Linked DNA regions of Oryctolagus cuniculus. The protein of the gene in region 1 interacts with the protein of each later gene in a pairwise test. Links are inferred from orthologs where the notes say so. Each region holds a gene or a part of one and is shown on either strand. Other genes may lie near its edges.

Evidence for each region. The genes of interacting proteins can lie anywhere in the genome.
Region 2: the proteins of ENKD1 (region 1) and MIPOL1 interact in binary tests that used the Homo sapiens proteins (3 or more experiments, as listed by UniProt). The two-hybrid records come from large-scale screens. The link is inferred for Oryctolagus cuniculus from reciprocal best matches to the Homo sapiens genes ENKD1 and MIPOL1.
Region 3: the proteins of ENKD1 (region 1) and UBXN11 interact in binary tests that used the Homo sapiens proteins (3 or more experiments, as listed by UniProt). The two-hybrid records come from large-scale screens. The link is inferred for Oryctolagus cuniculus from reciprocal best matches to the Homo sapiens genes ENKD1 and UBXN11.

What each region holds. Positions count from the first base shown.
Region 1 is NC_091449.1:50,903,727-50,910,016, forward strand, and holds the end of ENKD1 (enkurin domain-containing protein 1), read right to left. Parts: 5' UTR 6,287-6,290; coding exon 6,202-6,286; intron 6,111-6,201; coding exon 5,943-6,110; intron 5,540-5,942; coding exon 5,367-5,539; intron 3,246-5,366; coding exon 3,120-3,245; intron 3,014-3,119; coding exon 2,850-3,013; intron 2,750-2,849; coding exon 2,613-2,749; intron 2,526-2,612; coding exon 2,365-2,525; 3' UTR 2,173-2,364; downstream 1-2,172. Other genes in the region: PARD6A (partitioning defective 6 homolog alpha), read left to right, coding at 254-316, 686-908, 1,123-1,877. UniProt on the Homo sapiens protein: Microtubule-binding protein which regulates microtubule organization and stability. Promotes the stability of astral microtubules and facilitates the proper orientation of the mitotic spindle.
Region 2 is NC_091443.1:38,297,469-38,305,180, forward strand, and holds part of MIPOL1 (mirror-image polydactyly gene 1 protein), read right to left. Parts: intron 3,524-7,712; coding exon 3,292-3,523; intron 3,235-3,291; exon of another isoform or gene 1,945-3,234; coding exon of another isoform or gene 1,931-1,944; intron 1,016-1,930; coding exon 880-1,015; intron 1-879.
Region 3 is NC_091438.1:145,180,640-145,188,351, reverse strand, and holds part of UBXN11 (UBX domain-containing protein 11), read right to left. Parts: intron 6,680-7,712; coding exon 6,579-6,679; intron 6,176-6,578; coding exon of another isoform or gene 6,124-6,175; coding exon 6,069-6,123; intron 5,713-6,068; coding exon 5,636-5,712; intron 3,031-5,635; coding exon 2,904-3,030; intron 1-2,903. UniProt on the Homo sapiens protein: May be involved in the reorganization of actin cytoskeleton mediated by RND1, RND2 and RND3. Promotes RHOA activation mediated by GNA12 and GNA13.

The DNA of each region.
Region 1 (6,290 bases):
GGCGGAGCCCGATTCCCTCCCACGCCCCGGCCGCCCGGACCATAACGTAATGACGTAAGAGCAGAGGAAGACTTCTCCACCCCCGTCCCCGTTTCCTAGGAAACGTGGAGTCCGCGTTCCGCTCTTAGTCGCTGCCCACTTGACGTCATGGTCCGGATGGGAGGGCGGGGCGGCGCGGGCGGGCCGGCCGGGCTGTGCACCTGCGCCGCGGCGGGCCGCCGGGGGCAGCGTCGCCGGCCCGCCCGGCCCCGCCATGGCCAGGCCGCAGAGGACTCCGGCGCGCAGTCCCGACAGCATCGTCGAGGTGAAGAGCAAAGTAAGGGCTCCTCTGGTCCCGGCTCCGGCCTTGACCCTAGGCGCTCCCGATTCCCTCTCTCCCCTTCCCGGCTCCTTGGTCTCCATCACCTCTTCCTCTCCTTCATCCTCTGTGCCCCTTCTGCCGTTTTGCTCTCCTTTCCCCATCCACCCCCCTTCCTCCCACTGCCGGGCTCCGGAGCCCCTCTGTGGCCTGGGTACCTGGCGAGAGGGGGAGAAAAGACCTTGGACAGCGTCCCTCCAAGTGGAGCCGAGATCGGGACGTCAGGCGACAGCCCTCTCTTTCTCATCCTTGCCAGCCTGACCTGTGGTGAGAAGGGGGCGCGGGCTCCGTCCTGATCCCTCCTCTCTCCCCACCCCCGCTCTTCAGTTTGATGCCGAGTTCCGACGCTTCGCGCTGCCCCGCGCTTCCGTGAGCGGCTTCCAGGAGTTCTCGCGGTTGCTGCGTGCAGTGCACCAGATCCCGGGGCTGGACGTGCTGCTTGGCTACACGGATGCTCACGGTGACCTGCTCCCCCTCACCAACGACGACAGCCTGCACCGGGCCCTGGCCAGTGGGCCCCCGCCACTGCGCCTGCTGGTGCAGAAGCGGGGTGAGGAAGATGGGGTACCGTGGGCAGCCTCTGGGTTACGCTGACAGCAGGTCTGTAAGGGTTAGTCCCGAGTCAGGGTGCCCAGGCTTCACCCTCTGCAGTCCCTGCCCTTGGCCTGACCTCCAAGTGGTAGGAAATAGCTACTGTTCCCTCTGTGAGGCGCCCATGTGGGAGGGCAGGGTCTCTGATCTCGGCACCCCCCTCTCTCCTGTAGCAGAAGCTGACTCCACTGGCCTAGCTTTTGCCTCCAACTCTCTGCAGCGGCGCAAGAAAGGGCTCCTGCTGCGGCCCGCGGCACCCCTGCGCACCCGGCCTCCCCTGCTAATCAGCCTGCCCCGAGACTTCCGCCAGGTCTCCTCAGTCATAGATGTGGACCTACTGCCTGAGACGCACCGGCGGGTGCGGCTGCACAAGCACGGCTCCAACCGGCCCCTGGGCTTCTACATCAGAGATGGCATGAGCATGCGTGTGGCACCCCAGGGCCTGGAGCGGGTTCCGGGCATCTTCATCTCACGCCTGGTACGTGGGGGCCTGGCTGAGAGTACAGGGCTGCTGGCGGTCAGCGATGAGATCCTCGAGGTCAATGGCATTGAGGTGGCTGGGAAGACCTTGGACCAAGTGACGGACATGATGGTTGCCAACAGCCACAACCTCATTGTCACTGTCAAGCCTGCCAACCAGCGCAACAACGTGGTGCGAGGGGCCTCTGGGCGTCTGACAGGGCCTTCCCCTGTGCGGCCTGGGCCTGCTGAGCCAGACAGTGACGATGACAGCGGCGACCTGGTCACTGAGAACCGCCAGCCTCCCTGTTCCAATGGGCTGTCTCAGGGGCCCCCATGCTGGGACTTGGACCCCAGCTGCCTCCTTCCTGGTGCCCACAACTCTCTGCTCTCCCTGGATGACCGGGAGCAGGCCGGCTCTGGCTGGGGGAGCGGCACACGAGGAGATGGCAGTGGCTTCAGCCTCTGACAGGCAAGGATCAGCCCCTTGGCACTCAAGGCTGCTGGGACATGGCAGGGACTTCAAGGTGGGGGCGGCTAGCTTGTTCACAGGGCCCTCTCGGCCTGGGGAACATTAAATGTTTTCTACGAATGCAGTCATGGTCCTTCTGTGTCCCACCCCAGCCTCCTCCTCAACCTCACAACTTGCTTCTGCTCCAAACATGAGGCAGGATGAGGGCCGCAGGGAGACCTGTCCTGTCCTCAGGCAGAGAGTCGCCGGGCTTGGCATTTCCAGGGTAAGAAAAGCTCTTATGGAAACTCTACCACGTACAAAAAGTTTAATTTTGTCAAAGGGGCCCAAGGCTGGGATAGCCCTTCCGTAGTCACTGGTGGCTGGGAAGAGTGCTCCGGAGATACTGCCGACCCCACCGCCCTGTAACGGGGCCCAACCCTGCACTGCGCAGCCATGTTGCGATCTGTAGCAGGAACCTCCTCGCCACGACCCCCACACAGGCTCAGGCATCCATCTTCACGAAGACTTTGGGCTGGGAAAAGATCTTGATGGCTTCCTCTACCTGCACGAGCTTCCGGTCCAGCTCTGCACGGTGGCCCTGGGCCTTCAGTGAGTCTGCCCCAGCGGGCAGCAGTATTAGCTCCCGCAGCAGCTGGCTCTGGCCTACAGGGGGCAGAGGCGTGAGTGCTGGACAGGGGCGCGTGGTCCCTTGTGGGTTCCCTGCCCAGCCCCTCCTCGCCTGGTACTTACTCTGGAGCAGACTGTCCAACGTCTCCAGCCGCTGGCTCTCAGGCATGAGTGTGTGCCCAGGGGGCATGCTGGGATCTGGCTGGCCAAGCCTGCGGGCCTCAGCCTCCCGCCGCCACAGATCCCTGCGCTCCAACAAGCTGTGGACGAACAGGCTCAGGGTTGAAGACCCCAGGGCAGGAGCTGGCTTCCACCCGCCACAGGCACCCTTTACCCTGAGGCTCGGCTAGTGGGACCTACTATTGGGGCACGTGGCCTTTCTGTGTGGCATTGTAGCGCTCCTGGGCTTGCTGCTGCTGCTCCAGCACCTGTGCCAGGACCTGCAGCGAGCGGGAATAGCGCCGGGGGGCCTTCTTGGCGGCTTGTGCATTGTGACTAATGAAGTCCACACCCAGGCCTGGCCCCTGTAGGACATAGCAAGGGTGATGGTGGCTGACGGCACTGCTGGGCCCCTGCACCCACCTCCCCTCCCCTGTCCAACCACCTCCCGGCCCCTACATATCATCTCACCTTAGTTTTGGGACCTTGTGGGCTTAGCTGGGGACTGGGGACACGAGTTGGTGGGAGGCCAGGGCCGCAGCGGGAGTGCGCCCGTAGGAAGTTGACAGGCTCTGTCCCAGAGGCAGGGCCAGGCTCCTGGGGGCGGGGTGCAGCAGAGGGAGCAGCGAGACTGAGGTCAGGGTCTCCAGCCACAGGAGCATGCCCTGTCCCTGCCACTCGGGACTTCTCTCTCCCCGTCCCTGCAAGCCTGTTCCCTCTTGAAGGGGCACTGCTCCTCATCATCACCTTTCTTCTACCTCAGTCCTGGTCCAGCTACCACTCTCTGCTCTCCTTCCTAGCTGTGCCTCCTGGCTGTAGTCCCTCCAAGGTCACGGACGACTGGCCTCCAGGCCCTGGAATCCAGAAGGTCATTTCTTTGGTTTCCTTGTGCTCAGCCTGATGGTCAATAACGCTTGGGTCTCACTCTGAGATCCAGACCTGAGTGTCCATCTGCTACCTGGACACAATCCCACCCCCTGGCAATCCCACAAATGCTCCAGCCTCAGACCATCCACGGGTGACCTTGTCTTTTTTTCTCAAACTTGCTCATCCTTCTGAGATCTTGGGTAGAAAAATGGTGCCGCTATATACGCAAGACCAAATCCTACCATGATACCCCTGCCCTACCCTTCCACTGTCCTCAAAGTAAGCGTTTGAAAAGTGTCTTCGGGGTGGGCATTTGGCACAGCAGTGAAGACCCTGCCTGTGGGGTGGCCATGGTGGTGTAGTGGGTTAAGCTGCCGCTTGAGATGTCGGCATCCCATATCAGACTGCCAGCTGAAGTCCTGGTTGCTCACTTCCAGTCCAGCTCCCTGCTGTTGCACCCTGAGAGCCAGCAGATGATGGCTCAAGGGCTTGGGACCCTGCCTTCTACTAGGGAAACCCAGATGGAGTTCCAGGTTCCTGGCTTCTGCCTGGCCCAGTCCCAGCCACAGGATGGAAGCTCCCTTTGTTTCTGTCTCTATATCTCAATCTGCCTTTCAAGTAAATGAAAATAAGCAGTCATTTTTGAAAATACCATAATCATTAAAAAAGGGCATTGCTTAGGATGCCTGCATCCCCTATCAGAGTGCCTGGGTTCCAGTCTGGGCTCCACTTTTCATTCCAGGTTCCTGCTAATATACATCCTGGGGTGTGTGTGGGGTTGTGTGTGTGTATGTTTGTGTATGTGTGTGTGTGTAGCAGGTGATGGTCAAGTACTTGAGTCCCTGCCACCCATATGGGATTCAGTTCTGGTTTCCTGGCTTCAGCCTGGCCCAGCCTCAGCTGTTGCAGGCATTTGTGGAGTGAACCAATGGATGGAGGATCTAGCATTCTCTGTCAAATAAATCCAATTTTTCCAGAAAGTGGCTTAGACAGTTAAGACCCCATGTTCCACATCAGAGTGCCTAGGTTCCATCCCCAGCTCTGGCTGCTGACCCCAGCTTCCTGCTAATGCAGACACTGGGAGGCAGTGGTGATGGCTCCTGGCCTGGCCACTGTGGGCATTCGGAGAGTGACCCAGCACATGGGAGCGCTCTGGTTCTCGGAAAGGAGGAGGAAGGAAGAAGTGGAGAAAGAGAGCAAGGGAGGGGAGGAGGGAGAAAAAAAGGGAAGCGGCTTGGGGGTCCTTTATGACGTAGCTCCGGCTGACTTCCTGGCCTAACCTCATGCTTTTCCCCTCTCCCAGTGGGAGCCACACTGCTAGCAGAGAACCTGGCACCTTCACTGCCTGCTCCCGCTGGTCTCCGGACTCCCGCCTGTGAGGTTCCATCTCTGTGGCATGTTCTTTATTTTTTTTTCTTTTAATTACACTTTGCTTTTTTTTTCTTTTCCTTTCCTGAGGCAGAGAGACGGAGCTCCCATTGCCTGGTTCACTCCCCAGGTGCCTGTAATGACTGAGGCTGGGCACCAGGAGTGCGACCCACGTCCCTCAGGTGGAGCAGCCTTCACCACTGCCTCCCTGGGGTCAAAGAGCCGCAGCTGGGGACGGAACCCAGCACCCACCCTGATGTGGAATACAGGCTTCCGAACCAGCGTTTGCACCACTAGGCCACACGCCCGCCCTCTTTCTGGAATATTCTATACTACTCTCCCCTTGCCCAATCCCTACTTGCCATTCATGACCAGCATAGCCATGACCACTTCTGAGAAGTGACCCCAGCCCCACGCCATGACAGCATCAGGTGCCTCCCTCCCCACAGTGCAGGCCAGGGTTCGGCTCCTTGGGGCGGGTACCTGCAGCTGGGCCTTGACTCGAGACTCCACCTTGTCATACTTGGGTGAGCGCCACAGAGCCTTCAGCGGCTGGGGCTGGCCCTGCTCCCGGCCGTGGCCCTGCTCCCGGAAGCGTCTCTGGATCTCCTTGATCCGCCTCAGGTTCTCCTTCTCATGGTCTTTAGGGTCCTTCCCTGGGGGAAAGGTGCTCCCAGGCTCTGCCCTGACCAGCTCCCTGCCCGCCCTCTCCAGAAAGATCTCCCGGTTTCTGTGTCTGCCAGACGCTGTCTACACACCAGACCTCCCCTCGCTCCCCTGCCTGCATGTAAATCTCCCCTCGTTATTTTCTGTATTTTTTCAGTAAATACCCTGGATCGCCTCATGTCTTCACTTACTGCCTCCCACCTTGCCTACGACCCTGCTTTCCTGGCACCCACAAGGCCTGCCACACAGGAAACACGTTTTGATGCATGAATTAATGAGGTTCCCTCCCGCGGGAAACTGACGCTCAAGAGAGGCAAAGCCTGGGCCCAGGTCAGGGAAGGGACAGCCGCTTTTGATTTCCAACTGCCTCACTGCCCCTTCTGCCGGACTTACTCTTGGGCGAGACCCGCGGACTGAGGGAGATGCCCTCGAGCTGCAGCAGCACGCCCCCTACGCCTCGCCAGCCACGCTCCAAGATCTCTCGGCCTCCGGGCCTGATGCGGGGCCCGCGGGGTGGGGTGGCGTCCGGCTTCAGCGCGTTTCCTTCGAGGCGGCCCTGGGCTGAGGGGCGGGACAGGGCCGAGTGCGGAGCTCAGCGGTGGAGCGGCAGGCGATCCCGGGCCTTGCCCCCTCCGCAGCACCCCCGACTCACCTGAGGCCGGCCGCCGGTAGTAGTCTGGGCAGAGCGTGGGGTCTGGGGGGATGGGCCCCGAGATGCGGGACGGGCCCTCGCACATGCTG
Region 2 (7,712 bases), on another chromosome or scaffold:
TGAGAATGCTATCCCATCACATTCCATTTTGATTGGCACTGGCATCTGATTCATAATTGGCATGTAATAAATAACTGCTAAATGAAAGTATAGAAATATCTCATCCTCTCATAGGGAATCCTTCCAAATGTTTTTTTTTTTTTTTTAATTCCTCCCTAGGCTTTTATCATTGTGCTGTTTTCCTTCAGACATGATCAACATTCTTAACATCAGGCATCAACAATGTGATTCAGTCAAATAACAAGAATATTAAAAACAGAAAAATAAGCACAGGTTAAAAAAAAAGAAGACAAATAAAATGAACATTATTTAAGAACACTATTTATATTTAATGCTCACAGGACTGTAACTAGAATAAAATTCATAAAAGAAGGTAAAACATGACATGACAAATTGGAATGGATAAACTGCAACAAGATAACACAAGGTAAATGACAACATTGGCTAAGATTTGCTACTTTAGTGTTTAATTACATATATCACTGAGGTGAAATACAGGGCACTGATACTAATAAAGAAAGAAGAAAAGTGAAGATAGTAACATGAAAGGAGGGCATGTTTCTCATTCTCCACAGTGCTGAAGAAAAAAGTTTTACGATAGTAAAATTCAAACAAATCTATTTTTTTAGGTACCTACATAAGGCAATGAAAGCTTAATAAAAAGGAAGTGATATCACTGACTAGCAAGGCAGGAACCAAAATAATTAATTTTCATAGCCAGTCCCTTAATTATGCCCAGACAGCAAAGGACAGCAACAACAGAAAGCTGCTGTTGATTGCAAGACCCAACAAAACTGAATTATGACAGGCAACAAAGAAAATTTAGAAGGTCAACAGCTCAAAGTATACTGTATAACTATCAGACTTTCTATATTATACCTTTTTATTGCTTGTTCTGAGAATATCCAATTCTTTGAGAAGAAATGCTATTGTCTTTTCTTTATTTACATCTGAAGTAACTTGACAAGGAATCATATATCCATAATGCAAGTCATCATTTTTGTGTTCTGTAATGCTGTAATAAAAAAATGAACAATATATACATAGGATTTCTACTGTACAATATCTATAAATTTTATATTTCAAATAGCAACATTTAATTTTAACAACAAATATGAAAAGATATCAGATCTTAAATTTCTCTTTATATGTACTATGGAGAAAATATGATTGATTAAAGAGAATAAATATATCAATTTCACAGAAAAATGCCAATTTATCAACTGAGAGAGTTAAATTTAAAGAAAGTATTTAGTGATGTCTGACAGATTCATGGTTAAGTATACTTAAAGTATTCAGGCATTAGAAGCCACCGTTGTGACTCAGCAGGGAAAGCCACCACCTGTGACACCAGCATTCCATATGGGTACCAGTTGGAGACCTGGCTTTCCCACTTCTGAACCAGCTCCCTACTAATTGCCTGAGAATGTAGCAGAAGATGGTCCAAGTACCTGGGCTTGTCCACCCACGGGTGGAAATTCAGAAGATGCTCCTGACTTAGCCTGGCCCAGGCCTGGTGTTGCAGCCACTTGGGGAGGGAACCAGGAGATAGAAAGTATTTCTCTGTCTCTTCCTCTTTCTATAACTCTTTCATAATAAATAGGTAAATCTTATAGAAACAATTCAGGTTTTATACTGTTGTTTGGGGTTCTAGATACATTACTCACTTTTCTAAAAATGGGAGTAATAATCAGATAATTTTAAAGAATTTTTTGAAAGAATATATTTTCATTTTTAAATCAAAAACATTAAAAATGAAAAGCTATTCATGTAATATTTAAGGGTAAGTTAAAACAAAATTTTTTTACGTTTTATCTATTGAGAATAATATCACCTTGTAAGGAAGTGTTAATAAGGAAAGGAAGGGAAAAGACATAGGCTATTTTTTGAAAGCATTGAGGTCTCTGACAATTAGTACAACTCTACTCACCTTATATATTCCATGTTGTCAACATATTATAAGTCTCATAATTCAGGTTTAGCCCAAGTTCTACTATTTATTTTCCCCATGTGGTTATAAAGATGTTTATCTCTTTTTCACTTATCTCTACCTTTATCTGCCCTCTCCCCCACCACAAATGTACTCCAATCTGAACCTCTGTAAAAATCTGTGGGGAGCAACTCGGACTATACTGTTACTGGAATTAAGACTTATTCTATGCATCTGCTCTCCCACAATGTGGCGGTGGGAGAGGAGCATACAGCTTCTACCCAGCTGCCTCTCACCAACTTGACAAGCTGCAAGAGCCGCTCCTGATTGGAGGAGAGTGGCGCGCTCGGCGTGTGGGTAGCAGAGCACGGATTGGTGGAGAGGACTATATAGGAGGAGAGAGACGGCATGGTGGTGTGGGTTGGTTGGAGAGTGCGTTGGAGAGTTCGCGGGGAAGTTCGTTACTTCGTTCTTTCTCATTTCTCTCTACTCATTCTTGCTTTGGGAGTTTGCTGTTTACTTATTCTTACTTTACTATAGAAAGGACTTGTAAAAAAAAGGGAACAACAAGCGTCCGGTCCGGTGCGGCTCCTCCGCGTGCAGAGGAGCAGCAAGAATCTAACTGATTGCTGAGGGAGAGGAACAAACCAAAATATTATAGCATTATATTAGTATTCATTAATACATCTACTAAATAATCTATAAGCACATAGAAATAGCAGTTTATATGCAAAACTGTCAGAAATTATTCCAGAAAATATTTTGTCTAGAATGAAAATTAATCACTGAAATTTAAAAACATAATATTTTCATAGCCCATGGCTATCAAAGTACATTAATCACAAAGTCCAAATCCCTTCATGAGATAGGTAGGCAAGGTGAATGGAAAAAATACAGAATGTAAAGTAATAAGGAAATGCATATGGTAGAGAACAAGACTCTTCTAAAAGTATTAAAATTCACTTAAATGAAAAACAGTAGTAACCCAAACCAAAACACATTTTGGGGTTTAATTTATCCTGGAGCTGCTAGCTTTTCTCTCCTGAGCAACAATACTTTTATATTAACTGAACAGTCATTTCTACATCTATAATGTAATATCAAAGAAATACTGAACAAAGTATAAAATCTCATCACTTTCCTTCATACTCACCTTGTGCTTTTTCACTTAGCTAACTAGGCACAGTATATCATTATTATGGAAATAGTGCTAGGAAAGATCCCAACTTCTAGTCAGTTAATGACATGTCAAATTTAATCCACACCAGAAAGAAACAGAGAAAGAAAGGAAGGGAAGGAGGTAGGGAGGAAGAGAAAGTTCTCCCAATTCTGTTTCTAAATCTCAGGCTGCTAGCACTCACTTGCATTTTTCAGTAGTGCAGTAAGCTGTCGCATCATCTGGATAAGGACTGATGATCTGAAAATTCCTTGAACTCTGCCCTAGCAGTTTCGTGTCCTCGTATGGGACTTCATTTATGAATTCATTGGATTTCTGATGCATGCTTCCCTTGGAATTCATAGTCAGTTGCTCATCTGACTGTGCACTTTTATTTCTCCCTGCAGTTTCTTGCTCAGGATAAATGTGGGCTATATCTGTATTTAAACAAACATAACATGATATATGAGACACCATAGCTGCTTATTAAATACAAATGAATAGTAATGAATAGTTTTTTCTGAATAGTCCTAAAACTTTAAATATACACTTACCAATCTTACTCCTACTATAATTGGATAAGCATGTACAGAGTGGTTGTTGCCATCAATATTCCTATTTCCAAAGTCAATAGACACTTATGATTGTAACTGACAATGTTGCACATTGGAATAATGTAAGGAGTCAAAAATATCTTAAACCCATACCACACCCTATTTTAATAAAATCAGAATCTCTGGGATTAGGACCCAATCTTTATATTTTAAGCTCACTATAGATGATTTCAGTATACATTTAAGATTGAAAACCACTGGTTGAGAGATGTACTGTTTTCTAGATACAGTAAGTTAAGGGTCATAGGAAAATGATAATGTACATGGAATGGTGGTTATGACTGCGTGGGTTAGAACTTCAGCTCTACCAAATGCATAGCTTTGGGCTGGTTACTTAACCTTTCCATGCTTCAGTTTCTTGTTCATAAAAGGGAACTATAACGTCATCTATTTCACTGAGTTGTTGTGAGGACTCAACTAATACATGCGAAGTACTTGGTCTAGGACCTGACACATTAATAAACATTAGCTGCTATTTTTCTAAGCATCACAACATGAAAATGTATAGAATATAATAATTATTTCTAACCCTCATTTTATCAGGTATGTACCATGCACGAGTATACTGCAAAAAATTCATGAAAAATGGAATTAAAAGTATGAGCTCATTTTCATGCAAAAGTTTTTCCACAATACACAGAAAATACAAATTCTGAAAAAATCATGCATGGATATAAAAAAAATTGTGCCAAGGAAAAAAGCTCCTCATACTTTTATTTACACATCATTGGTGAAGTACTCTCAAATTAGAGAATAATATCTGGATATATCACACAACTTATTTTTAAGTTACCACTAGTAAATATAATCTGTTTCAAAGGAGTAGTGCACATTTCAAAGCATAGTATGGTTTCTGGGAGAAAAATCATACATGCACACATAACTTTTTTACTAGTACATTAGATCAACAGCACAAATGGTGATTGCAATTATCATTTCATTATTTCTAGCAGAAATAATCTTGAAGTTTTTTTTAAAGAATTATTTTATTTTAATTTTTTTATTTGAAAGAGTTAGAGAGAGGTAGAGCCAGAGAGAGACAGAGAGAGAGAGAGAGAGAGGTCCTCCATTCTGCTAGTTCACTCCCCAAACGACCGCAATGGCCAGAGCTGAGATAATCCGAAGCCAGGAGCCAGAAGCCTCCTCTGGGTCTCCTATGTGGGTGCAGGGGCCCAGGGAGTTGGGCCATCCTCCACTGCTTTTCCAGGCCATAGCAGTGAGCTGGATAGGAAGCGGAACAGCTGGGGCTCACATGGAATGCCAGCACTTCAGGCTGGGGCTTTAGTCCACTGGACCACAGGGACGGCCCTTGAACTTTTCAAAAAGCAAATTCTAAAATTTTAAACTCTTAATTTTAAAGTATTTTTAAAGAACCTGTACTGTGTGATTAGGCTCTGTCTTTGGGTATCTCTAATTTTATTCATCAGTAAAAGCTTTTTTTAAAATAATTATTTGTTATTTATAAGGCAGAGTGACAAGAGTGAAACAAGAGAGAGAGACAGAGAAACAGAAGATCCTCCTTTTGCTAACTCATTCCCCAAATACCTGTAATAGCCAAAACTAGGCATTGCTGAAACCAGGAGCCAAGATCTCCATCCAAGTCTCTGACAGGGGTAGCAGGGACCCAAATACATGCACCATCATGCACTGCCTTCCAAATGCATGAGCAGAGTGCCGAATGAAAAGCTAGAGTAGCATGGCCTCACATGAAGCACTCTGATACTAGATACAGGCATCCAAGCAACACATTCACCCATTGTGCCACAACACCAGCCATCAGTAGAAAAATCTTTTAGGGCTTTATTCTGAACTGTTCATCAGACATTTAAAGACTTTTATAAATCACATTCTGCATATTCTCTACTGAGAATATAATTTCACCTTATATTAAAAAAGGCTGATTCATAAAATTTTCCTGACTTTTTTTAAAAAAACTATTTTGACAAGTATAATTTTAGCAAATTAGAGTTAAAATCTTCTTGGGCCAGTACTGTGGCTCACTTGGTTAATCCTCCACCAGTGGCACCAGCATCCCATATGGGCGCCGGGTTCTAATCCAGGTTGCTCCTCTTCCTGTCCAGCTCTCTGCTGTGGCCCAGGAGGGCAGTGGAGGATGGCCTAAGTGCTTGGGTCTCTGCATCCACGTGGGAGACCAGGAAGAGGAACCTGGCTCTTGGCTTATGATTGGCACAGCGCCGGCCATGGCAGCCATTTGGGGAGTAAACCAACAGAATGAAGACCTTTCTCTTTGTCTATAACTCTACCTTTCAAATAAAAATAAAAATAAAAATAAAATAAAACAAAATAAAATCTTCTGAAGGTTCTCAATGCAGTCCTTCTCAGTAATACTACATTATCCTCTACCAATATTTAATTATTTCGTATCAAAAGTTTAACTCTTCTATCAAATTTATTCAATATTTTAATGATAACTCATGGAAAACCTACAGTGTGATTTATCCTGTGATAGGTACTAGGGAAACAAAGATAAGCAAGCAACAGATATTCCCCTTAAGGACTCAACAGTACAGTGATTACTGCAAACTGATTCAATGACTTGAATATAATGCAGTAAGGACTATACTAGGGTTATAGAGATCACGTACATGTAAAATGCCACACATAGTCAGATGTTCACATTTTTTGCTTCCACAGAGAAAGGGAATATGCAAAGTAATAAAACTTCCAAAGGGTTAGAGTTAAGTGAAGTAAACAAAATGGTGATGGGGCCAGCGCTGAGTCGCAGTGGGTTAAAGCCCCAGCCTGCAGCGCTAGCATCCCATATGGGTGCTGGTTTCTGTCCTGGCTGCTCCTCTTCGGATCCAGCTCTCTGCTATGGCCTGGGAAAGTAGCAGAAGATGGCTTAAGTCCTTGGGCCCCTACAGCTGCATGGGAGACCTAGAGGAAGCTCTGGCTCTTGGCTTCGGGGCTCAGTTCTGGCCGTTGCAGTCATTTGGGGAGTGAACCAGAGGAATGGAAGACCTCTCTCTCTCTGGATCTACCTCTCTCTGTAATTCTTTCAAATAAACAAAATAATTCTTTAAAAAAAAATGCTGACAGACTCTGAGAATAAGAAGAGAATAAGAACAACAGGAATGGTTACAGTGAATGAACAGCTTTAGGAAAAATAAAGAATGTGTGTGAAGTCAGTATGAAACTGTAGTATTCCATTTGAACATTACTATGTGTGGCATTTTACATGTACATGATCTCTATAACCCTAGTGTATAACTCTTGTATTGAAATGAAAGACACTCCTGTAAATGAATGCCATTTTCTGCAATAAGTATCAGGTAAGGACAAAGTGTAAGATGTAGTTTGCCTGGAAATGGGTTGATGAAACAGATTGATGTGAAGGTACTTGGAGAGGAGCAATCAGGTGCTGGAAGTGCCACTGCTGAAAACACTGAAGTCATCCAGAAATACAAGAAATGGAGAGGAGAAATGAGTGCCAAATGTCAAAGAATTCAATGACTACAGAAACATGTTAAGGAAGCCAGAGACCACGAAAAAGTGAACAAAAACTGATGGTAGATGTCATTTCTTTTTACTTTTTTATTTTGAAATAAGTTGTTTTATTGAAAAGTTGAAAAAAAAAACAGTACAAAGAATTCCTATACACTCTTTTTTTTTTCTTTTGACAGATAGAGTTAGACAGTGAGAGAGAGAGACAGAGAGAAAGGTCTTCCTTCCATTGGTTCACCCTCAAAATGGCTGCCACAGCCGGAGATACGCTGATCCGAAGCCAGGAGCCAGGTGCTTCTTCCTGGTCTCCCATGTGGGTGCAGGAGTCCAAGTACTTGGGCCATCCTCCACTGCCCTCCTGGGCCACAGCAGAGAGCTGGACTGGAAGAGGAGCAACCAGGACCAGAACCCACATGGGATGCCGGCGCTGCCGGCAGAGGATTAACCAAGTGAGCCAAGGCACCAGCCCCCCTTTATACTCTTAATATAGATTCTCCAAGTATTAACAGCTTACCACATTTTTTATTCATTATCCATTATCACGTAA
Region 3 (7,712 bases), on another chromosome or scaffold:
GCCACTGTGCAGCCGGGGGGGGGGGGCAGGGAGGGGCCAGACCCTGCCACCATCAGCGGGTGAGTGGCAGCCCCTCCCGAGTATGCTATGCCCTCGCCCCTCCACCTCACGCAAAGACTGTTGTAACAGGAAATGGAGCCACCATTGCCACACACCTGCTAAGCAGGGCCCCATCGGGGGCCTGCAGCTGGGTTCATTCTGGTCCTTGGAGGGGCTCTGGGAGCCTGGGCACAGCACAGCACACCCCCCGGCCTGCGACCCAGGGCCCTGTCATGGAGCGCTGCTTGCCAGTCCCCACCCCATCCCTCTGTCACGGCCCAGGCCTAGGCACACCGGGCACTGGCCAGCCCTGTGTTGGGTGCCTGGGGCTAACAGCCGGGAAGCAGAGCTGGCATTCCTGCTCACCACCTCGGACTTCAGAGCAGAGGAGAGACCCAGAGGTCACACAGTCTGCCCGTTAGGGGTCGCAGCCCAGCCAGGCCCCCCTCCTCAGCCTGGCCTGGCTCCCTGTTCTGCCAGTGAGGGCAGCCCACAGTGCCCACTTCACAGCCCTGCGCGAGGGGGAGGAAGTACCCGGCAGACGCTGGCTGCTGGCACCAGCACCTCTTCCTCATCGCTGGGCTCTCGCTGCCCTCACCCACCCGCACCCAACCCTTGGCACGCAGCGCTGGGGCGGCTACCAGCGGCAGTCCAGGGCTTGGCACAGAGCTCAGCTGGAGAAGGCCGGATTCCAGCTGAGCATCAAAGGAGAGGAGCCAAGGGGCTAGGAGGTGGGCCAGGCAGGGGGCCGAATGCAGGCTCAGGGACCAGAGGCCACGGCTCATGTGACATCTTCCCCTGCTGGGAGTTTGAAAGAGGCTCCAACCCAGACAAAGGGCCTAGGGCTGGGGAGGGGGGAGGGAGGGTGGCGGGGGGTGCTGGCCGGGAACAGTGGTGATGTGGGGCGGGCCAGCAAGAAGCTGGTGGCTCAGAGGAGGGGTCCTAGCCTGAGGGAGGGGTCAGGAACAGCTCAGACTGGGGCTCCCAGCCCTGAGGCTCAGCCCTGGCCTACATGCCCTGATGGGATACTGACCCAGCCTGAGGCCAACCCCTCCCCTCACGGGCCCTGCAGATTCTTCCCCTGACAGGAGGTCCAGGCTCTAGAACATTCCAATCATCATTTGGCCCCAGGAGAAGCTCCTGCGGCTCCCCCACCCACTGGCCCCTGCCTCAGAGCCCTTGGGCAGGGGCACCCAGCAGGGGAGTCAGAGCCTCAGGCCAGAAGGGCCCTTGGGGAAGGAGAGAGAAAGGTGGGAGAGGTCTCAGGAGGAAAACATAGCAGGAAACTAAGGGCCAATGCAAGGCCCTTCCCATGCTAGGAACCAGAAAGGAAGACGGGGGCTGTGCGGCTGCGGCGGCCACAGCAGGCGGTGGGCGGTGCTCACTGCGGCTGCAGCCTGCACGCATCCAGCCTCAGAGCCAGCCCAGTGCACAGCCCCAACACCAAACAGTGCAGAAAGAAGGCTGCTCTCCGTTAGAGGGCTTGGGGAGAGCAGGAGCCCCGGAGCCAGGTCCAGAAACCAAGTGGCCGGTCTGAGCGCTCCCCACAGCAGCAGGGAGGTCCCCACTGGCTAGGAGGAGGCTGCCTGCCCACACGGTGGTGGGGCCCACACTGCACGTGGCCGGGCTCTGGCCCCAGACCTGTGACAAGAGCACTGCACCCACTCGCTTGCCCAGGCCTCACCTCTTAACCAGGCTGGGAGAACTCCTGGGTTCCGTCAGGAATGTGGGAGCCATTGTCTGCATAGCTCCCCGGCTCTGCTGTCCGGCCAGGGCTCAGCATCTTCCGCACGGCGATGCCCCCTGGCTCACCCGACTCCTCCCATCCTCCCCTTGCATGGAGCACTGCACTTCCAGCTGGGCTCTCACTCACCCTTAAGTCCCGCCCCTTCCAAGTCACCTTGATGTGCCTCCATGTGCCCATCTATAAAATGGAGCAACTCCTGACCCATGTTGAAGCCATTTCTGAAAAAGCTTTGAAAGCTGCAAGTGTTACCCAAATGAGAAGTGATGTTTTTGGAACAAGCAGTGGAGGGCTGTGTGTCTGAGGGTTAGAGGAACTGGCCAAAGCCTGGGCCTAAAAATGTGGTTTGCAATCCGGGCCTTTACCCAGCAGGAGGCTTAGGAACGCAAGAGGCTGCCGTGGTCACCCAAACAGGCTCTGCAGGACAGAGCGTGTGTCCCCGCGAGCCTCTCCAAGGCCTGGGAAAACAACATGCACTCCGGCGCTGGGCGCTCTGTGCTCGCCCTTTTGAGTCCCTGGGGAGGTGCATGCCCCCCCCCCCCCCTTACTCAGAGAGCAGATGTCGCCTGCTCGAGTCACGGGGAACAGGTGGAGCATTGGAGCTGGGGACCCGGGCTCGCCCGGCTTCAGGGCCTGGACAGAGACTTTGCGGGCAGCGAGCTCCACCCTTGGACAGACCCAGTTCTCAGAAACGGCCAGTTCCACAGAGCCAAAACTCGGGAAGAAGGGGCTGTGGGGCGACCCCGAGACACTAGCAGCCGCGTTCAGAGTGAGAAGTGCTGAGCCCATGGCCGCTGGTCACGTCCACGGGTCAGCAACGACCCTGGAGAGGGGGCCCAGCCCTGGCAACGGGCGGGGGGGCCCCAGGCAGAGGTTAAGGCTGACAGCTGTGGCGGGGGGTGGGGGGATGACACACATCTACAGACCGCAGAGCAGAGCCCGGACCTGCACGGCCTGTCCCTGGGGGCCTCGGGGGCCCTTGCAGAAGAGCAAGGTGCGTCTTGGTCAGTGATGAAGGCTGAGGCCTTTCCCGCGTGCTGTGTCAGGGGTCCCTCGGGGCATGCTGGGAGCCGCTGGAGGATCCCCCTTGAGGGCGTCTGGGGCACAGCCTCTAGGCTACCTGGCTTCCAGAACTTCTTGGCTGTCATCCAGGCCTTCCCGCCATCTTCTGAGGCTATGTTACCCTCGGAGTCCTCCTGGTCCATGGGCTCGCCCACCCAGTGCAGCCCATAGTCGCTGAGGAACCGCTGTGGGGAAAGGAGGTGATGCTGGGGACACTGCCAGCTCAGTCCCTTCCCAGGGCACGAGTGGCCTTGGCTCCGTCCCCAGGCTCAGCCCCAGAGCTGACAGAACAAGGGGATGGGCTGAGACCGTGGCTGCTTCCTGGCTGTGACCTTGGAAAGCCTTTTACCTCCTGGAGCCTCAGGAGATCACAGCACCTAGTTCACATCCAGCGCTGAGCAGGAAAGCCGGCCGCTGTGGCTGTGGGCAGCCATGCGGGTCAGCCTGAGCGTGAGGGGCTGGGGACACCCTGGCTCTGAGGACGGGACCAGCCACACGCCGGCCTCCCCAGGGCCTGGCCTCCCTCCCCTCTGCCACAGAACTTCAATCGTCTACACCTCCTGTTGCCAATTCCTTTTCTCCCCTTCTTTCCTCAACCCACAATTCACTGAAGCTGCTCATGGTGCAGCCACCAACCACCTGCCCATTGCCAAACCCAGCGGGCGCACCTCTGTCCTCATCTCTTTCAACAGCGGCTGGGCTTCCTCCCGCCTGGCTGCTCCTTGGCCAGCCCCTGCTGCTTCCCCATTTCCACCCGACAGCGACAGCGACACTGCAGGTCCACAGCACTCCCTTATGACTTTTTTTTTTTTTTTTTTTTTTTTTTTTTAGGATTTATTATGTATTTGACAGGCAGAGAATCTTCCATCTGCTGGCTCACTCCCCAAGTGGCCACAACGGCCAGGACTGGGCTGGGCTAAAGCCAGGAGCCAGGAGCTCCATCTGGGTCACGCATGTGGGTGGCAGGGGCCCCAGTACTTAGGCCAGCTTCCTCTGCCTTCCCAGGAGCATTAGCAGGCAGCTGGCTCAGAAGTGGAGCAGCCAGGGCTTGAACCAGCGCTCCAGTACGGGATGCTGGCACTGCAAGCGGCAGCTTAACCTGCTGCACCACAAAGCAGATCCCAGCCTGAATTCCACACTCCCGTCTCCAACCACATAGACTCTAATGCCTGCCATGCAACTCGCAATCACTGAACAGTCACGGCTCCCGCCCCCATGCCCTGGACCTCCTGGTCCTGTCTCAGTGACGCCCCCTCCACCCAGGCATCATCCAGCACCCGCTCCCCTCTCTGCCACCACACCCGGATGCCCCTCAAGGCCTGTGGCTGCCATCTCCCAAGCAGCCTCAGAACGACCCCTCTTGCCCCATGCGCTGCCTCCCAGCTCAGACCACGGCCACTGTCACGCTCCTGGACAACCAGGAGACGGCTTCTACCTGTGTCCCCGTCGTCACGCAGTAGGAGGGTCCTCCCCTCATGTCGCTCTGACACCCCCAGTGGTCTCCCATTCCCTCCCAGTGGAATCCACGCGCACCACGGGCAGCGAGTCCTGCGTGATGGGGCCACTCCGGCCTCTGGTCTCCTGCTGCCCATGACCAGCAACCGCTATCAGCCAAGTGTACCCGGCAGAAGGGGAGGCTTTCGTGTCTCTGGCCTGGGTCCTCTGCCCCTGGTTGCCCCTCATCCCCCAGATCTCATGGCCAAGGTCACCTCCACAGTGGTTCGTCCCCATCCGTCTCCAGTGTGTCACACACGGGATTATCTTATAGCACTCCCTGTCTCTGTGTCTCTTTCATGTACTTGTTAATGTCTCGTCCCCTCCACGCTGTCAGCCCCTTGAGGGTGGGGACCATGTCTGTCTTGTTCAGATTTCCAACCAGGCACTAGAACAGGCACTGCAGGGTGCTGCCCCCAGCGGGTTCTGCTAAGCACCTGCTTCGTGAGAGCCAGTGATGCCCTCCCACCAGGGGCTCTGGGGTACAGCCTCTCAGCCCCTGCAGCAGAGGCTCGGAGCAGCCTGGGGGGTGGGGGCAGCTGTGTTTACCCACAGCCCCAGGGACCAACAGGCCTGGAGCGACAGGTGCTCCCAGCTGCAGCTGAGGCTCTGGGGTTGGCCTCTGTGGCCCTGGATTCCACTGGGGTTTTAGGAACCCACTCTGTGCTCGGAGAGGAAGGCTGGCTCCTGCCAGGGCAGGGTGGGAATGCCTGGGACGTGTGTGTACCTGGGACACGTCTTTGCTCCTGGCCCCTCCAGTTCAAGCTTTGGAGTCTGAATGGGTGTGTGCGTGGGAGGAAGAAGTCACAGGCAGAGATAGGGGATGGCCTTGATGAGTCTCCGGGGATTGGGATCGGGAGGGAGGTGGCCCGCCCCGGAGTTCACAGTCCACGGCAGAGAAGGGAGGTACTGAGAAAGCACAGGACAGGGCTGGGGCAGGAAGGAAAAACACTGCAGGCCAGGGAACAGCAATGGGCCAGGGTCCCGAGGCGGGACAGACTGGGCGTGTTCAAAGAATCAGCAGGGGCCAGGGAGGCCCTTGGCGTTGAGCCCAGCCGGGAGCCCCGAGGCCAAGGAGGCAAGCGGGGTGTGCTTAGGGCGGTTCAGACTCACAGGGTGAGCCCTGGACACTTGTGGCTCTGTGAACTCGGGGTTAATTCACGGGGCAGGGCCCCCAGGGGGAGGCTTGGTGTGGAGGGGCCCAGAGAAGTAGGTGCTGGCCCCGTCCCAAGGGGCAGACAGCCTGGAGCTGGGGCTGCGGGCTGCGGACTGCTGCGTCCCCGGGCCCGCCCTCACCTCCATCTCCCCGACCTGCCGCTGCAGCTGCGCGCACATCGTCTCCAGCTCCTCCTGCCGCTGCTGGGAGGCCTCGCCTTTGGTGGGGAGATGGGGATGGGGTCTGGCTGTTCCAGCTTCCAGGCCACCTCTGCCCTGAGGGCCATCTGGGGCCCTGAGGAACCACCTGCAGGGGACCCCCTCTATCTCTGCCCTCTCTCCCCGCTCCCCTGAGGGCACCCTGCCTCGCCCCTCAGTGCTGTGGCTCCACCACGCTCTGGGTAGTGCAGCTACCTTCAGGGCACTCTGACTCCAGCTGTCGGCGCCGAGCTCTGGCTCAGCTCTCCAGACCCACCAGGGAGTAGCTTGCTGCTCACCACCTACGCTCCCACCCAGGGGCACAGGGCCAAGGGAGGTCCCGACCGGGGGATCAGCCCCCAGGAGGGCCTCTTACCTTGGTGCTGCTGGAGGGTCTTCACCAAGTCCTCCAGGGCCAGTATCTTCTGATCCTGCAGCAGCGAGGCCTAGGGTGAGCGCAAGGCCCGGCGCTTCCCCAGCCGCCTTCCGGGTAGGAAGATGCAGAGGTTGTGCCTGTGGGGGGGCCCTGGGGAGCACAAAGGTCCTGCCTCTGCCAACACTTGGCACACCCGCTGCTCCTGTGCCGCAGGCCACCCCTGCAGCACTGCTGAGGTGGGGAAAGGCACAGCCCACACCGAGAGCGCCGACTCCACCCAGGCCAAGGTCACCTGGGCCCTGCTCAGCTACGGAGAAGCCCCCAGCCTCTCTGTTCAGTCACTGGGCCCCAGCTGAGCGGGGCCCACACCCGGCCATCACACTGGGCTGCTGAGTGGGGAGACGGTCACCAAACCCCTCTGCCCTGGTCCCACTGCTGGCCCCTGGCTTCCCGGCCTGGGCCTGCCACCTCTCAGCCCAGCCCCTGGCTCTCTCCCACCTGGGGCCTCACCTTGGACAGCATCTCATCAGCCTGGGCCTTCACCAGCCGTTCCAGGTCCCATAGCTGCTTGGCCACGGAGGCCAACGCCTCGGAGTCATGGGATACAGCGCCTGCCAAGTGGACCAAGTCTTTTGAGCCCAGGCTGGGCTCTGGGGGGTCCAGGATGCCCTAACAGCGGCCCACGCTCCCACAACACGTGCTGTTCTGAACTCTATCTGGACCAGCTCACAGATCCTCGCAACACACCTGTGAGGCCAATGAGCTGCTTCAGGAGACTGAGGCACTGAGGCCGTCATGTGACCACGGTGTACAAGCGAGCGGTGACACACGGGCCACCTCACCCCATAGTGTTGCCAGAAAGGCCATCCTCAACCTAATCCAACCCTAACATCCAAGCTCCCGTTTGCAGGCAACAGAACAGCGCGGGGGTCGAGGCAAACCTCAGACGAATGTGCAAGGCGGCACGCGCTGCTGCACGGGTGCCTGGGGGTTTTGAGAAAGTCAGTGTTGGGGCCGGCGCTGTGGTGCAGTGGGTTAAGCTCCTGCCTGCAGCGCCAGCACCCCATGTGGGTGCCAGTTGGAGTCCTGGCTGCTCCACTTTTTTTTCTTTTAAGATTTTATTTATTATTTGAGAGGCAGAGTTACAGAGAGAAAGGTCTCCATCCGCTGGCTCACTCCCCAAATGGCCGCAATGGCTAGAGCTGAGCCAATCCAAAGCGAGGAGCCAGGACCCAGGAGCTTCTTCCAGTCTCCCACGCAGGTGCAGGGGCCCAAGCACTTGGGCCATCCTCCACTGCTTTCCCAGGCCACAGCAGAGAGCTGGATCAGAAGGGGAGCAGCTGGACACAAACCGGCACTCATACTGGATGCCAGCGTTGCAAGTAGAGGCTTAGCCTACTATGCCACAGCGCTGGCCTCTGCTCCACTTCTGATCCAGCGCCTTGCTAATGCACCTGGGAAGGCAGTGGGAGATGGCCCAAGTGTTTGGGTCCCTGCCACCAATGTGGGAGACTCAGATGAAGCTCCTGGCTCCTAGCTTTGTCCTGGCCCTCAGGCCCAGCTGTTGCAGTCATTTTGGGGATGAACTAGTAGATGGAAGATCTGTCTCTCTCTAACTCTGCCTTTCAAACAAACAGAAAAAAC